Linked DNA regions of Kluyveromyces lactis. The protein of the gene in region 6 binds, or shares a complex with, the protein of the main gene of each other region. Links are inferred from orthologs where the notes say so. Each region holds a gene or a part of one and is shown on either strand. Other genes may lie near its edges. The genes, in order: MRPL44, MRPL17, MRPL33, MRPL11, IMG1, MRPL38 and MRP35.

Region 1 (2,396 bases), on a different chromosome or scaffold from region 6:
GATCCAAATGAGAGTGTCTTTAGCTCATCTTCGCTTTGTGAACCTTCTGCATCACTTGTATCGTTTATTCTTATGATTGATGCTATGTCATCTTCCTCATCTTCGTTTCCTGAATGAAGATCTGGCTTGATATTCTTGAAGTAAAATGACATTTGTATATTACTGGTAGTTTTTGTGGCCGTGGCTGCTTACAGGTTAGTTATCAGTCGCTTCTACATAGAAGTTCTTCTTGATTTTAAGTTTAGCTCATCGCTTCTGCATTGGCACCGTATAAAATTTTCAATATCTGGAAGAAACTTGAAATTCCTATTCAGGCGATGTAAATGAATAATGGACAGGAAGGGAGCTTCAAATAATAAGGTCTGTGATCATACCAACAGCGTTGACTCAATTTAATCCACTGAAGCATTGTAGTGTTTTATATCTTATACTACATTAAATTTCTTTTACTTATTGTTATATATACATGAATTTTGTGATGGGTATCTCGTCACAAGAAATCATTGAGATTCAATACTTTCCTTTAGGGCCAATTTTCTTGAATGACGATCAAAGTAGTTCCCTAGTTCCATGAAGTTCATACTGCTTGGATCAGCTTCCAATTCAGTTTTATCTTTGAAAGTAACTTTCACTGTAGGTTTCTTATTAGAGCCAGAAACCAAAACTTCGTTTTGCAATTGTAATCCACTTGTTCTTTGTGAAGGAGGAATAGCACTTAAGAACAACCTAGCTGTCTTGGCTGTAGATGAAGATAAATGAGACGATTGATGTTTTAATAGTAAAACAACCGTAAATCATATTATGTTAGTAATGGTGTTCGGTAGTTTTAAATGATGTCCAACTAATGATTTCTCTTTCTTTGAAGACATACCTTCCTTTCCTAATGGATTGAATTTCACAACTGCCTTAGTAAAATATTTCGTGATCATGTTGCTCTATAGTTCTCTTGACAACAGCTGACAAACTCCCAAGTATTACTCTGATGAGACGTCCTCATCCAAAAACATACTTCACAGCTGTATTCATCTCTAGCTTTTTGCCTAAAACTGTTTAAATGGTAATAGCGATCTCATCAGAGGCTATACTATTACCCGGATAGTTTTTGAATGTTTTTGGGCGATGTTTGACGAAATGAAAAATATTGAAAGAAACATCCAATTGCAAAATGAACAACTTCAATATTTGCAAATGAAGCAAGACTGCTTTTAGCACAATCGGTTTTTAGGATCCTTGGATTGTTATTTAAGGTCGATATAAGGTACTCGCCTTTAATTGTTTGCAGGTTGAACTAAGTGCGGGTTGTTTTTCATTCGTTTATTCAATTGTAACAGCCGTTGATACGGTGAATCTATTGGCAAGCTTTTTAAAAAGGAACTATTCATATTCGAATTGGACTTTCAGTTTGATTGTAACTATACTTTAACTTGATCTTATTGCCTGAAGGACCAGTATCTTTTTTATAGAAGCGAAATAAACTACAGAGCCATGTTTTTCTTCAAAGATTTGTCGTTGAATATAACGCTTCATCCATCATTCTTTGGACCTCAGATGAAGAGATATTTGATGACAAAGCTACTACAAGAGGTGGAAGGAACATGTACCGGTAAATTCGGATATATCCTATGTGTTTTAGACTGTGAAAATATCGAGATTGAACGTGGACGGATTTTGCCTACGGACGGGTCAGCAGAGTTTACTGTTAAATATAGAGCTGTGGTATGGAAACCTTTCAAGGGAGAAGTTCTTGATGGTATCGTATCTAGTTGTACAAACTTAGGTTTTGAAGTGGAAGTTGGACCTTTGTCTGTCTTCGTTTCCCCTTTTTTGATGCCAGAAGATTTGACTTTCAACAGTGGTTCCAATCCTCCATCATATCAATCATCAGAACAAATTATTACTAAAGGATCTAGAGTAAGATTAAAAATCGTCGGTGCAAGATCGGAAGTCAACTCTATTTACGCCATTGGCAGTATCAAGGAAGATTATTTGGGGGTGATATGATATTTCTTTCCTAGAACCTTTCACATTTTTCACCTAATCGCAACTATGACTATATATAGCTTTGGACATAAATTTCCAAATTCCGGTCATCATTGTTATCTGCTTCATTTGTGAGCATTTTGTATAATATAAAAGAACAAACTAATTTAACAAGCAGCATGGTCAATGTACTTTCTTTTTCTCAGCAATTAATAATAGCGTCACATTAATTTTTTGATTGTACCAAGCACAAACTGTTACAAAAATATCTGTTAAAAGCATATACATTGTTGAGAACTTTCACATGAATCAATTGACATATGACGATTTGTGTCAATGATTCTATCTTAAAGATATCACAAATAAAATAAAATAAAATAAAAATAATAACAAGAATCCCTCGTTGAATTGCATTT
Region 2 (2,568 bases), on a different chromosome or scaffold from region 6:
AGTCGTGCTTAATATTTTACACCACTGGTGCTCTTGATAAAATGACAATGGTTGATTTACGTTCAGGCAGACCGAAAACTATGGTATCGACCGATGATCGTAAACGAAATGATTTTGTTAAGAAAAGCACCGATCGGAGCAGTAGAACTCAAAGAGACACACCACAGCGCGGGAAGAGGGATAAAGAGCTGCGCAAACAACCATACAAGAGAGATGCTGATAAATTCAGTGAGAAGTCGTTTGGTCGCTCCAACACAGGGTCTTCTTTTAGAAAGCCAAATGATAGATGGTGATAGATTTAAAAGTTAATTAGCATTCTTACAAGTATATAATGTTCCAATCTTAAAATCAATCAGAGTTCAGCAATATGTATATGATTGTTATCTTTTAGTGTTCGATACGGGTTGGAATTTCTATCCGAAGCAGTATTTACAGGAGGGTTTACATATATATATAGTGATTAAATCATGCCAATACTTTCTGTGTTTGATGATAATATGTTAATTCTCAGCAAGAACATATTGTATACTATTGAAATATCTCTCGTCAACAGCTTTCTTGATTTCATCTTTTGTCAACCATGCAAATTCTTTGATTGACTTTTCATCCTTTAACTTGAATTCACCTGCTATGATATGCGATTTGATCAAAAACTGGAGATCTTTTTCAGATTGTAGAACACCTGCTGGAGTATTCGACACAGTCCATGTATTAATATCTTCTCCGCCGATTTTTCTTAATCCCACTTCAGCGGTCTCATGTAAAGCTTTCTTTCCTTCCTTAGCTTCAATATCAACCGGGAAACTTGGAAGAACCCAGCTTCCCTTGTCATCCTTCACAAGCAAATGCAGAGTTCTGTCCAATTTTCTGTCTAAACTAGTAATATCGTTATTTTCGTCTGCCTTTGTAGTTCTGGAATTAGGAACAATTGGCCTTGAGACATCAGACTTGTTTGAACCTTCTGAAGCCTCTCTTGGTAGCATAATATCTTGCTTTTGACTTCTTTCTCTGTTATGTCTGACGTCTGGCACTCCTTTAGGGAACCATACACCAGGCTGCTTGCTAATCACACCTTTCTGTACAGACTGGAAACGACGCTCTGCCAAAGTACCTTTTTTGAAATAGAAATAAGATGGAAATGTCCACATTAGTCTTCTTTCCAGTTCTGCCTGGTATTGGTAGTACTTGTTCTCTAGTGCATTCAATTCTGGAGTGACGATTGGAACACGAGAAAGTACCAAACCTGCCTTTACTGCCTTGGGAATCGAGCTTGCTGCTGCTTTCACAGACATTTTTATTTATAATTGTGTCGATGAAGAGGGTTGCTGACTGAATATACACGATGATTGACAGCTGGTGAATATGCTTCCCAATTCTGATAAGCGGCACTATTTCAACATGATGCTGATGTTCCAATAATTTTTCAAATTGTTTGAACATCCTCTCATGCCTACTATTCCAAAATTTTTCAATATGAAATAATCGATCACGATATACGGATTTGATAACTTTCCAAGTGGTGTCACTAATAGAACAAAGTAGTGAGTGAATTGCATATGCATAAAGGCTATCAGATACAGAAAATTATTTAAGTGCATTTATATAAGCATTATTTTGGCGTTTGGTTCAAAATATTCATCAATGTGTTTAATTGCGCAGTTGGATCGAAATTTTGTGGGGGTTGAGGAGATTTTTGGCCCGAAGGTTGAGTAGACTGATGCGATTGCTGCTGCTGCTGCTGCTGCGCAGATGATGCCGATCCCAGCAGTTGATTTTGACCATATACCATTGATGGAGGCTGCTGATACAATGGCTGGTTATAATACTGTTGTTGGATTTGAGGAACGTTCGGTATTTGTGATGTTTGAACCGGAGGAGGAGGAGGAGATATATTACTGTAGGGGATAGGTGTTTGAGAGACAGCAGTAGCTTGACCAACTTTACCAGACTTGGGACCCAAAACACCTTTATCAGTTGGCATCTTTTGCGAAATCGCTTTTGATGAAACACCTTCACCAACAATAATATCGGGCTCCTCATAAACCATGTTTGTTTGGATTGGTTGACCACCAGTACCACCCCATTCCGCGGACTGTGACCATTTGAAGTCAATTTCGGTTAGCCTGGCCAATGGGATGATTGAATATCCATATTGATAGTCACAACAGTCTCTAGGACCGAAACCAACGGCCCAACGGATTCTCAAACCATGTGTCGGATTGCCACCACCAGTGAAATGCGCCATGATCCTCTCCGCTTCTGCTCTTGAATAGACTTTCACAAAGGCGTGCTTACGGGCATTATTCAAAATAACACTCTGAACCTCACCGAATTGTCTTAACATTCTTGCAATATCATGTTCTTTGAAATTTTGTGGGACACCACCAACGAAAAGGGTTCTGGAATATACTTTTACGTGGTCCCTTGGCACAGTTGGATCAAAGGATACCGGTTTTGGCCTAAAATGAGGGTTTGAGGGAACATTCTGCTCATCTGGGTACAAATGATGGTTATTTCCTTGTTGACCATTAATTGACTGCTGCTGTTGTTGTTGTTGTTGTTGTTGTT
Region 3 (2,151 bases), on a different chromosome or scaffold from region 6:
TGTTTTGAGCAAATATATCTCCCAGAATATGAGTGTTCAAAGGTTACCACAAAGACCTAAAACAAAACATTTGTACAATAGAGTTGATCAATTGCTGGCTCAAGAAAATCAATTCTTTTCGGCAAATGACAGTATAGAACTAAGTTTTGATGGAAAAGCTATGAATAAAAATGATATCTTCAGAATTGTAGATTCGTTCTCGGTGGCATTTGACGATGATGAATATGGTGAAGATGGTGACGACGAATACGTGAAACAGCCTAGGAATATTCTCACCAGAGAAGTCACCGGTGTCTTCTAAATAAAGACGTTTGGTATATGATACTCTCAAATACCTCATTAGAATAAGATTAATATTTCTTTGATCTCTATATACATGAAAATCCTAATATCCTTTTCTTTATGTAAAACAGAAGATGTTCATTGTGAGCCCAGTTTCTTCTCTGTTAAATGTTTCTGGTACATTGCTTTGTTTGTTATATTGTCTGGTATGATCCTTTCTATACTCTCTTTTCGACAGTAAATCCAGGATTTGATTTTCTTAGCTCACGCTGTTCTGCCTTACTTAAAGCTTTATCGGCAAGCTCAACGCTCACAAGCTCCTTTATCTGAGCGACAGCACCTGCAATAGATGGTGTAGCTGGTTGATATGCGACAGATCCTCTTTTTCCGAGTCCTAAACTCTTGACCACTGCCCTAGTCTTCTGTGGAGTACCAATGACTGACCTCTGTAATGTAATTCTGTAGAAAACCATGGCTATCTTTGAAAATTATTATGATAGCTATGCTTTTAGAAACCGTTCGCTAATACCAGTAATGAAGTATAATTTCCTCGGTCGTAAGTTTCGTTGACAATATAGAGAACTATGTCAAAAAAAAACGCTCTTTTAAGAGATCTTGTGCATCATTATCGAAGAGATTAACTGGGTATTCAAACCATTAATAGCCAACGTACATTGATTTTTCAAATAGCATCAAAACGTATAAAGTGATATCATGTGATGTATATTGTCTAGCAGCTCATCGCGTATGTCATTTGGGCACTTCTCACAAACCGTCGCAGGAAAGTGCTACCTACTGAGAAAGAACCAGGAATTGCATATAAAGATCTCAAGATTATATCTCGCTGTTTGAATATTTCTTCCTGAATATGAAGTTGCATTGAAATTGTCTTAGGAGGGGCATTTGCTTGGTTATGTATATATATATATATATATATGTCATTTCTTTTTTTCCAATATTTATGCCCGATTGAATAATATATATATATATCATATTAACAAGCTCTTAACGCCATGGTTGGTTAGATCTCTCTAAGGTTTATATCGCCACTATACACTGCAAAGTAGAAGTAATAATTTGAGCCAATATGGCTGGTAGTACGCAAGACACCGGCGTCAAAGACGTTCCAAAAGAGCTTGTGGAACAAGCAAAAAAGCTATCGATTACTGATGGGATGGACCAGTTGAAGGTAGAAGGTAAGAATAAAGTAAAGGACAAGAAAAGTAAGAAAAAAGGCAAGGCCTTGAATGAGATCACTCCAGAGTATATCGCTGAGATGCGAGCTAAGAGAGAAGCTGCGAAAATAGCAAAAAAAGAGGCTCTTATTGCTCAAGGTATAGATCCAAAATTGCCCGCAGACCTTAGATTTATCAAAAGGCCGATGTTAGCTGTTCCTCGAGATTCATCAGGCCAATCGACGAGAGAGGTATGTCCAATCAGTATAATGACGTATAATTGTCTTGCCCAAGCTTTGATTAGAAGAACACTGTTTCCTACGAGCGGAAATGCTGTTAAATGGTTTAAAAGATCTCAAGTTTTACTCAATGAATTCAAATATTACAATGTTGACGTACTGTGTTTGCAAGAAATTGACACGGTTCAATACAAGTCTTTCTGGAAAATGGAGTTCACAAAACTAGGTTACATGTGTCAATTCCATTTTAATCCTACCAAAAACCACGGAGTATTAATTGCTTGGAAAGAAGATCTATTTGATATGACAGATAAGATGTTAATTGACTACGACAAAGAAACAACAGGTGCCATTGAACCAAGAACAACTACCAAAAATGTTGGCATGTTGCTTTCTTTGAAGTTTAAAAAGAAAGTGCTAGAAAAATATCCAGACACCAAAGTCAGTGGTATAAT
Region 4 (2,668 bases), about 320 kb from region 6:
TTGGATACTCCAACTGATGATCACTGAATGGATTCGAATGTGCTCTTTGTCTGTAAAACTTTTTTTTAGGTAAAGATAGTTTATCCACCTTTTCAATCACAGATTCATCGATCTTGACATGTTTCAATTCTTTGCGATGATCTTGCTTCTCAGCACGATACGCCTGGCGTCTAGTACTAAAACTCATATTTTCTAACAAAGGCAGTTATAGGAAATTTGAGTCACTGTTAGAATTCAATTATGTTTATTCAACACACATTAACGGTTGGTGGAAGTAACTGCTTTGAAAAATTGTAACCTCATCGCCTAGGTTTTCTCGACTCAATTGATTCAGTGCATGTTCAAAAACTTTTTATTTCTTTACAATATACAAATGAGATCAAAAAAAGTCACGTGCAAAGAATATGTACAGGAGTTTATATTAATATGTGATGGGTTTATTTAAGTACATCGATACGTAAAAATGATTTATATTACATTTCATGATGGGGCAAAAGACTTTAATTTCCTTCGCTGTCATTCTCGTTTTTCTGCTTATCTGGGTTAATATTATCTTCGTGAGACTTTAGAGTTAGGTACAACATGTTTGAGCCAGCTTCTAAAGTTTGAACTAAACCAGCACCGCTCAAGACGTGCAATAGTCCCAGTAATTCTGATTGTAATTGACTTTTTGTTGGTAGATCCTTGAAAGAATCCAATTGTCTCAAATCGTACGCATCATTTTCAACTTTGGCGCCAATAACGAATAACTTGTCTTGGGCTTTTTCCAATAATTTCATGACTTTTTTTACCTTTGCCGGATCAGTCTCTGGGAACGAAATTGCTGCCGTAGGACCTTTGAACAAGGGCAGTAAAGGATGCTTCCAGTCTTGTTCTGAACGTTTCGCTGGAGCAGCTGGGTCATTTTTGCGTGAGTTTCTCAAGTATACTTGGAACAAATTGTTTCTCAAGATTGTTAACTTGCCTCCTACCTTATTAATTTCTTCTCTGAAGTGTGCATTCTCCCCTTTCATCAAATTGTTATGATGACAAAACAACATTACCGGACTGGTTTCCATCAGGTTTTTGTAAGAGTCGATTAGGAAAGTCTTACGAGAGTCCAAAGGCTTTACTGTTCTTCTAACTGCATCCGAGACAGTTCTCTCAATTTGCGTAGAGGCAAACCTCCTAACCAAAAACGGAGAAGCATATGAGACACGGGATACCACCACTGGGCTTCTTAACAAAAGTGACAACATGGCTATTTTGAGTGGTTGGTGATGACCTGAGCTGTGGATTCGAATCACTTTAAGCGAATTCATTCCCACCAATATATCTCTTCACTACAATATATCAATCTTCAGTGATTTTTCAGATTTTTCATTTTTTTTCAGATTTTTCAGTATCGTCGAATTTCAATACTTGGTACAATAAACCGACGAGAGGCATAGTTAGATTCAATGTAAGAAGGTATGAATGGTAATTGGAAGTGGTATGAGTGCCAAAATCGGTATCAACAATGGAGAAGGGAATGAAGACTTTCTCGTATATTTTCCATGGCAGCAAAAAATGTATATTGGTAATTTTTTATATATCTTCTTTATAGTATATATAATCCCGAATGAGGCAAAGGTCGATTCACGTGACTGTTCAAATTAAAATGATAGAGGAATTGGTGAGTTCTGCTCTTCTTTTCGAACTGCAAACTGTCATTGCTATCGTCAACATCATGCTTAAATAATGTAATCCGTTATAGACGTCTCCTGTCCAAGCTAGGAGGGATGTCGAAAGATTAGATTTCTTCCTTACAAAAGGTAGTCCGGGATTTATAGGGTCGTAGTGAAATTGTGAAGAGATGCAACTCTACTTCGTCATTGAAAAAATAAATGCAGTCATGTAACTGACGAGAATAATGCACAATTAGTGTAACTTCATCGTTCCATTGTGGAATTTGTCGCTATTCGGGATTTTCGTACATTTGAAACAGCATAGCTCTGTGCTGTAACGGTCTGGAAAATTATCTCATCTCATCGACAAGGGTTTGCATTAGTTGTCTCGCATCCATATCACGGATACGGCTGACATTGGATCCTGCCCAATGTGCTGCGAAAGAATTTGCGGTACCATCATGATCTGGAATAGACACGGCATTTAACTGCTTCCCCACATCGTATGTAAATGGATACCCTGGATGTATCACTCTAGTTGGAATATCCACCTCAGTGTGCCAACTATTCAACAAAGCTCGCGCCGGACGACCTGATATGCTGCTTGTGATTTGAGTTATGTCATTTCTTGTTTTGTCAAATAATAATTTCCTGTAATTTTCTGACGCAGCCGATTCTTTGCATTGGACAAATGCGGTTCCTAATTGAGCACCACTGGCACCTACTTCCATCATTCCTTTAATATCTTGACCAGACATTATTCCTCCTGCTGCTACTATAGGAATAGTTGTGCCCAACTTTGCTTTTAGTAATTTCACCAAATCTCTCGTGGATATTGCCGGATCTAATGATGCGTTAAACATTCCCCGATGACCACCCGCTTCGACACCTTGAGCGATTAGGATATCTATCCCGTGCCCAATAGCCAATTCAGCCTCACTTAATTGAGTCACACTTGCCATCGTGACAACTCCCGCTTGCTTCAATGATTTTAAAGTGCTCGCAGATGGCACTCCGAAATG
Region 5 (2,262 bases), on a different chromosome or scaffold from region 6:
CGGCTGGTACGGCTTTCATAACATTATACCACTACTTTTTTGAACCAATCAAGAACCTTCATAAATTATCAAAAATGCGGACCAAAATTGCTTGTAATCTTTTCATTTCTAATAGAGCAACTTGCTCACTCAATGCAGCTTTGTTTTAGATAGAGCGTACAAATCCTTTCTTATGCTTATCCTTTCTCATGATTTTCCTTTCTTATTGGATGCACTTGATGAGGTATAAGGACTAGCATAATCCGCCTTTTTATTTTACAGATTATACAATTATATATCCACCCGACATGCTAATGATACAAATAACTTTACCTAGAGAAGCTGGACCTGCATAGAGTACCTTGCATTATGGTTCAACTCTGGAGCTCTTTCAACTTTGAATCTTCCTTGTCTTTGGGTTTGCATTGATATCGAGCATTACTTACTATATGTTTGAATTGCTTCTATGTACATGTTTCATTTTATGAAAATTCAGCAAGTGTTTGATAGTGTGAATGTGCTCATTTCTTCTTTCTCATACTTGCTTCCAAATCTCCGACATCCAATCTGGTGTTTCTGATGTAATAATGTTTACTTCTGCGTCTCTTACCATCCGCTCTTCTAATCAAATCAATTCTCTCTACCAATGGTGAGAAGATTGGCACTCTCATTTCCACACAGGTTTTATAAATATAATCTCTTAATAGAATGGATGTGTCTTGTACTATTGGCTTACGGTCTACCGATAGCACATATCCAGTAAAACTATCGTAGTTGCATTTCTTGGAATCGTAAACTACACGAAGAACATCACCTGCACGTAGACGATTTGGGTTTTTCTTTGAAACCATCTCTGTTTTTACACCAGTTGGGTCAAGTTGTTTTAGATCATGATCAGCTAGAGTCTTCACTACTAATGGGGAGGATATTCTTTCAACTGGTGGGTAAACTGGAATAATCTTTCTTCCACTCTTAGCTGGAAGTTGATAACTTCTAACAGATTGTCTGATAACGGTAGGTAGTAGTCTCTTTAACATTGTATGGGACTAATATAGTTTTGGAATGGGAACTTGATCTGACGGGTAGTAAAGGCTTAAACTCAAATATAAACTGCGCTTCAGTGCTTTCTTAACTCTTAGGTACTTATGTTTCCATCTTTTTTAACCAAAATTTTCGAATGTTCTTTCTATGGAAAACTACAACATAGGTTTGATGATCATTTTAAACGTTTTGATCATGGCAGATGCAATAGACACGGAAAATGGTGAATGAATGATAACGTTTCAGTCCATGTTTGCTGATTGTATTAAGTGCGTATCTACTAATTCTATATATGCAAGACCATACTAAAACCTAGGTCTTCTCTTTCTACCCGTAAACTTCGAGTCGAGAGCTACCTTTCTACCTCTTTTTTTCATCACCTCCTTCTTTCTGTTGATGTAATCCTTACTTGATTCAACTAGTTTCTTTTTACGCTCTCTCTTTACCATTAGATCTGCATCCATCTTAACACCATCCAAGTTGACTTGTTCATTCTGTTCTGTAGATCCGGAGCTTAATACCAAGTAGTACTTCTTGTTCTTTTTGGACTCGGGATCATCAATGACAAGGCCACCAGAGAATCCAGCTACTTTTGCTGCTCCCAAGATTTGGTCTATTTGATCATCATTCTTTGGATAGAATTGTGCTACAAATTTTCCTCCTTTCTTCAAACTAGCAAATAGTGTATTGAAGAACCTCATGAGCCTTCTCTTTGGATCGTTGTACGATGTGTCCGCATTACATAACCATTGAATCACAGATATACTAATTGCCGCATCAAATACACCTGCTCTAAATGGAATACCTTGACCTATATCGTGTAACATAAGATCACCTTCAACTTCTCTTTCTAGCGCTTCAGCTAACATACTAGGAGAAATGTCTAATCCACACCATATATGTCCTTCTTCAGTGATGATTTCACCACTTAAACCAGACCCACACCCAATATCCAAGATATATGATGTATGTGGCAGGTTGAGAAGTTCTAAGGCCCGAAGTGTCATTTTAGCTTGAATATGTTGCACTCTTGTGGAGCCACTATACTTCTTAGATTCACTGTCATTGTAAAACACTTCTGGTGGTGCCAAATCTTCTGGACGTGACATTTCGATCTCAAACTTCTTGTAATTGTTATCCTATTATACTTTATTCCCGTCAGTTGATTAACAGAGCATATCAATGCAAACAGCTTGCTCAAGTAGCCATTGTTAGTTCGTAAATGTTTGGCGATGACCGAGA
Region 6 (2,155 bases):
TTCATTGCACATGGAGATATAAAGTTGGAAAATTGCCTTCTAGAAAAAAAGTCTGAGAACTACAAAGATTGGAAGCTTGTATTATGCGATTTTGGCATGAGTCACTTTTATGGCCATTTCAAAGATCAGATGGAAAATGAATCAATTCAACTGAAATCCCTATTTGATGGGTCTACTCTTCACTTGAAACGAAGACCCTCAATTCCAAGATCTTCCTCTTCAACGAATAATTCTTCTTTACGGTTGAAATCAAGGTTAAGACAAATAGTGAACGATAAAAAATTAATTCATGATGATACGACTTTGGGTATTCACTCCGTACCAAAGAGCACTCGTTCTAACCTAACCAGCTCGTTGAACCAAAAAACAGACATTACATTAACACCTAACAAAGATTTGCATGAACATATCAACGATGACATGAGCAGAATTGGCTCTTTACCATACGCTGCTCCGGAGTTACTAGAACCCAACCCTCCTCCCATTGGACCAAGCGCTGATATATGGGCCATTGGTGTTTTAATTTTCACCATGCTTACCGGCAAATTACCTTTTAAACATGAATACGAGCCCAGACTTCGTGCAATAATAACTTCAGGTAAATATGATAAAACGACACTACGCCAAGTTTGTAACTGTGATATGAACTCGAACTTGGGTGTAGATGACCAGGTGGAATTCCAAGGTCTATTCAACGCAGTGAAGGGCTGCTTAACGAAAGACTTAACCCGGAGATGGGAACTTGATATGGTGAAAGTAGCTCTGGGTAAGCATTGAAACTAATCCTAAACTAACAAAATATTTTCTACTATTCTGTCCTTGTCAGTTATAACCCTTAATTTTTAATTCAACAAGCATACCAATAGCATTAATAGTAACGCATACTGTTACATTGACCTTTTTTCTGATGTTTTACCATTCTCAACAGCATAATACTTAATAATTTTACTGAAGTATATAACGATAACTAATGAAAACACCAGCTGTCTTAACAATGACGGCGTTGTAAGCACTTTATTTGTATGTAGTAAGCGTTGATAATGGCGTTGATTAGCCAATAATAAATCAATCACGTGATATACATCAATTATGGGTTAAGAAAAAATTTGATGAAACCAGACATAGAAAGCTTTAATCCTTTCTCTAACGATAGTCCAGGAAGAAAAGCTGTGCTTTCCCGATCAGTAGCAGCCTGCAGCACACGACCTAACTGAAGTTCACACTGTGACTGTTATAACATGATTTATTTGAAGTCTTTTTTGAAAGTCATTGACAACTCAGGTGCTCAAATTGCCGAATGTATCAAAGTACTTGGAAAAGGTTCGCCAAAATCTCCAGGTAGAATAGGTGACAAAATCGTCTGTGTGGTGAAGAAGGCTAAACCATTAACACAAACTATTACTGGGCAATCCAATAACAACAGAGTGAAGAAAGGTGATATTGTACACGCTGTGGTGGTACGTACCAAGCAAAGAAATATGATACGTCCTGATGGATCAACAATTGCGTTCGGTGACAATGCTTGTGTATTAATCAACAAGAATAATGGTGAACCTCTAGGGTCAAGAATTATGGGTAACGATGGTGTTGTCGGCAGAGAACTAAGGGAAAAGGGCTACAACAAGATTTGCTCTCTAGCAAGTAAAGTTTTGTAAATATGTTTCACCACTGGTAAATATCGATTACGACTGCGCAGGGCTTTTAGAATCATGTATATAGATAATAAAAAATAGAAAATATCGTTAGTAAAGTTTATGAAAATGCCATGATAAATATGATGGATACGCGACTACCAACTTATTGCTCATTGACAGTGATATCAATATTTTATAAGTGTTTCAAAGAGATGTATGTTTATCTTAAATATAGATAAAAATGATGCGAAAGAAACTAATCTAAATCTGCCAAAGTAGCAAGGCCTTCAGCTATGAAACAAATTTTGGTGTTACACCGGCCTTGGTGGATATGTAACGCAGCATTTTGTCCTCTTCATCCACGAACTTTTTAGCAATGAATCCACCGTTATCCTTTTATTCGGATCAACTTGGAAGATATGATAAAGTGCAGCAGTTCTGTACCGGTTCATACCTGGAGACACATGTTTCATTTCGTCAAATACATAATATTGTCCATGTTTTTCCATATCCTCGAGGAA
Region 7 (2,217 bases), on a different chromosome or scaffold from region 6:
TACATCTACATGGCTTTGATTATGGCTGACAAGGGTGAAGCCAACCAATACAAGGAATACTTTGACAAAGCTTTAGAATTAGATCCAAACTGCTCTGCTGTTTACTATCATCGCGGTCAAATGCATTTTGTTGTTGAAAACTTCAAAGAAGCTGGTGCCGATTTCGATAAGGCTAAGGAATTAAATCCAGAAAACATTTTTGCCTACATCCAATGTGCTTGCTTGGCTTTCCGTGACGATAGATTTGATGATTGTGAAACTTTGTTCAGCGAAGCCAGAAGAAAGTTCCCAACTGCTCCAGAAGTTCCAAACTTTTATGCCGAAATTTTGGCTGCTAAGAACTCTCTAGATGCTGCCATCAAGCAATACGATATTGCCATCAAGTTGGAAGATGCTTTACCAGGTATTCACGTCGGTATTGCTCCAATGATTGGTAAGGCCACTGCTTTGATTAGAAACCCAACCGTTGAAAACTTCGTTGAAGCTTCCGAATTATTTGAAGAAGCTTGTAAGATCGATCCAAGATCCGAACAAGCCAAGATCGGTCTTGCTCAACTAAAATTGCAACAAGAAGAAATTGATGATGCCATTCAATTGTTCGAAGATGCTGCCGATCTCTCAAGATCTTTCGATGAAAAACTACAAGCTACTACTTTCGCTGAGGCTACCAAGGTCCAGAAAAAGATCAGAGCTGATCCATTCATTAAGGGTAAGATCGACGAAGCTATTGCAGCCTACCGTGCTCAAGGTCTCGCGTAAATTAGCATGATATTCACGAATGAATTTAATTCATTTCAATATGAGTAAAGCTACAATAGCTCATTGTTTTTGTCTCACCTTAATGACCATAATGGCAACATACCATGCAACATCTAAACGAATGAATTACCAAGAAAGTTATGATTTTACAAACAAAAAGTTGTAGCATTTCACCCAAGTTATTTATGACTCGTAAGCAGCGTGAACTGTGTTAATCGTAAACGACAAGATCTCAACATTACAACGTGAAGAATAAGAAATAGTTATCAATTCTTCACAAAAACAAGACAAAAAGAAACACAGAAGAACAAGAATACGAGAACAACGCTTTTCAATAACAGCTCATTGCAAAATATGTGCTCCTAAATACCCCTGGTTCAAAAACATCATCTTCTACCATTTTGCTAGAAACAAATACGTCTTTCTGTATATACATGTATCTCCCCCATCTCACAATTTAATCAAATTGTAATTTTAAACACTTCGATAGTATATCACTACATACGTTTCAACATAAATGACATTTTTTGTTTTCTCTGAAAGAAGTGTATGTAATAAAAGTTTCTTGTGAGATTATGGCAAGGTACTGAGTGAAAGTGAGCTACAATTCAAGTACTTCATTGTTAACGGACTATAGCAGGATTTACCCCACCAGCGAACTACTTCAAATATGCTATCTTCTATCTTTGGTTCGATGATGAACTTTTCCGCTAGAACTGGACTTCTGGGATCTAAAACTAATGTTTCATCGCTCATCCTCACCAGAAACTTGATGAAAACACACAAAGGTGCCGCAAAAAGATGGAGAAAAACAGCCAATAGCTTCAAGAGGGGCAAGGCTGGAAGAAATCATGGTAATGCTGGATGGAGTAGGAACTCCCTTAAATCATTATCTGGCAGGTCATTAGCAGACTCCACACATATGCATCGTTTAAAGAGATTGCTTCCATACCATTAAGAGATGAAAGGCAATTAAAATAAGATATCGTTTCGATTTCAATCCTGTACATATAACAATGGCATCCCCATAATGAATGACACACCATTTCTTACCATGATTTTCAGTAAAGCATGTCATGAAAAATCAGCGGGTTACTATAATGGATAATTATCATTAATAAATACCTATATACAATTTGCAAACAACGGTAAAAAATGATTAATCATATATATAGTCAAATTAAGTCTCCGAGATATCATTCTCGATCCAACTACCTGTTTTTGGATTCTTTCTTAATTCTACCGTTGGGAAGTAGTGATAGTTTGTCTTTAAGGAAATGGCAAACGGAACATCGTCAAATGTCATTAAGCGTAACTTGCAGTATGTATTATCTGGGATTTCTTTAACAACCTTCAAGAATGTATCCAAATCAGGTGTTGATTGGTCATTGACGTGTGTGATAAAGTTGGTCACTTCTATTCCGTACTGTAACGCCAAAGAAGATGTACCACGAGAAA

The links.
Region 1: MRPL38 (region 6) and MRPL44 share a complex: the UniProt entries of both Saccharomyces cerevisiae proteins name them as parts of the mitochondrial large ribosomal subunit. The link is inferred for Kluyveromyces lactis from reciprocal best matches to the Saccharomyces cerevisiae genes MRPL38 and MRPL44.
Region 2: MRPL38 (region 6) and MRPL17 share a complex: the UniProt entries of both Saccharomyces cerevisiae proteins name them as parts of the mitochondrial large ribosomal subunit. The link is inferred for Kluyveromyces lactis from reciprocal best matches to the Saccharomyces cerevisiae genes MRPL38 and MRPL17.
Region 3: MRPL38 (region 6) and MRPL33 share a complex: the UniProt entries of both Saccharomyces cerevisiae proteins name them as parts of the mitochondrial large ribosomal subunit. The link is inferred for Kluyveromyces lactis from reciprocal best matches to the Saccharomyces cerevisiae genes MRPL38 and MRPL33.
Region 4: MRPL38 (region 6) and MRPL11 share a complex: the UniProt entries of both Saccharomyces cerevisiae proteins name them as parts of the mitochondrial large ribosomal subunit. The link is inferred for Kluyveromyces lactis from reciprocal best matches to the Saccharomyces cerevisiae genes MRPL38 and MRPL11.
Region 5: MRPL38 (region 6) and IMG1 share a complex: the UniProt entries of both Saccharomyces cerevisiae proteins name them as parts of the mitochondrial large ribosomal subunit. The link is inferred for Kluyveromyces lactis from reciprocal best matches to the Saccharomyces cerevisiae genes MRPL38 and IMG1.
Region 7: MRPL38 (region 6) and MRP35 share a complex: the UniProt entries of both Saccharomyces cerevisiae proteins name them as parts of the mitochondrial large ribosomal subunit. The link is inferred for Kluyveromyces lactis from reciprocal best matches to the Saccharomyces cerevisiae genes MRPL38 and MRP35.

Annotation. Positions count from the first base shown.
Region 1 is NC_006039.1:594,785-597,180, reverse strand, and holds MRPL44 (mitochondrial 54S ribosomal protein mL53), read right to left. Parts: upstream 930-2,396; coding exon 872-929; intron 740-871; coding exon 501-739; downstream 1-500. Other genes in the region: rRNA-processing protein RRP36, read right to left, coding at 1-152; DNA-directed RNA polymerase II subunit RPB7, read left to right, coding at 1,486-2,001. UniProt on the Saccharomyces cerevisiae protein: Component of the mitochondrial ribosome (mitoribosome), a dedicated translation machinery responsible for the synthesis of mitochondrial genome-encoded proteins, including at least some of the essential transmembrane subunits of the mitochondrial respiratory chain.
Region 2 is NC_006039.1:256,993-259,560, forward strand, and holds MRPL17 (mitochondrial 54S ribosomal protein mL46), read right to left. Parts: upstream 1,293-2,568; coding exon 501-1,292; downstream 1-500. Other genes in the region: TEX1 (Tex1p), read left to right, coding at 1-293; Nrd1 complex RNA-binding subunit, read right to left, coding at 1,610-2,568. UniProt on the Saccharomyces cerevisiae protein: Component of the mitochondrial ribosome (mitoribosome), a dedicated translation machinery responsible for the synthesis of mitochondrial genome-encoded proteins, including at least some of the essential transmembrane subunits of the mitochondrial respiratory chain.
Region 3 is NC_006039.1:553,262-555,412, reverse strand, and holds MRPL33 (mitochondrial 54S ribosomal protein uL30m), read right to left. Parts: upstream 756-2,151; coding exon 501-755; downstream 1-500. Other genes in the region: KLLA0_C06292g (uncharacterized protein), read left to right, coding at 1-301; NGL2 (RNA exonuclease), read left to right, coding at 1,370-2,151. UniProt on the Saccharomyces cerevisiae protein: Component of the mitochondrial ribosome (mitoribosome), a dedicated translation machinery responsible for the synthesis of mitochondrial genome-encoded proteins, including at least some of the essential transmembrane subunits of the mitochondrial respiratory chain.
Region 4 is NC_006037.1:292,829-295,496, forward strand, and holds MRPL11 (mitochondrial 54S ribosomal protein uL10m), read right to left. Parts: upstream 1,239-2,668; coding exon 501-1,238; downstream 1-500. Other genes in the region: TRM8 (tRNA (guanine46-N7)-methyltransferase), read right to left, coding at 1-187; KLLA0_A03289g (putative nitronate monooxygenase), read right to left, coding at 1,997-2,668. UniProt on the Saccharomyces cerevisiae protein: Component of the mitochondrial ribosome (mitoribosome), a dedicated translation machinery responsible for the synthesis of mitochondrial genome-encoded proteins, including at least some of the essential transmembrane subunits of the mitochondrial respiratory chain.
Region 5 is NC_006042.1:571,763-574,024, reverse strand, and holds IMG1 (mitochondrial 54S ribosomal protein bL19m), read right to left. Parts: upstream 1,017-2,262; coding exon 501-1,016; downstream 1-500. Other genes in the region: BUD23 (18S rRNA (guanine1575-N7)-methyltransferase), read right to left, coding at 1,326-2,129. UniProt on the Saccharomyces cerevisiae protein: Component of the mitochondrial ribosome (mitoribosome), a dedicated translation machinery responsible for the synthesis of mitochondrial genome-encoded proteins, including at least some of the essential transmembrane subunits of the mitochondrial respiratory chain.
Region 6 is NC_006037.1:613,741-615,895, forward strand, and holds MRPL38 (mitochondrial 54S ribosomal protein uL14m), read left to right. Parts: upstream 1-1,238; coding exon 1,239-1,655; downstream 1,656-2,155. Other genes in the region: protein kinase NNK1, read left to right, coding at 1-777; putative serine/threonine protein kinase KKQ8, read right to left, coding at 1,946-2,155. UniProt on the Saccharomyces cerevisiae protein: Component of the mitochondrial ribosome (mitoribosome), a dedicated translation machinery responsible for the synthesis of mitochondrial genome-encoded proteins, including at least some of the essential transmembrane subunits of the mitochondrial respiratory chain.
Region 7 is NC_006042.1:2,241,510-2,243,726, forward strand, and holds MRP35 (mitochondrial 54S ribosomal protein bL35m), read left to right. Parts: upstream 1-1,429; coding exon 1,430-1,717; downstream 1,718-2,217. Other genes in the region: protein channel TOM70, read left to right, coding at 1-759; NMA111 (Nma111p), read right to left, coding at 1,940-2,217. UniProt on the Saccharomyces cerevisiae protein: Component of the mitochondrial ribosome (mitoribosome), a dedicated translation machinery responsible for the synthesis of mitochondrial genome-encoded proteins, including at least some of the essential transmembrane subunits of the mitochondrial respiratory chain.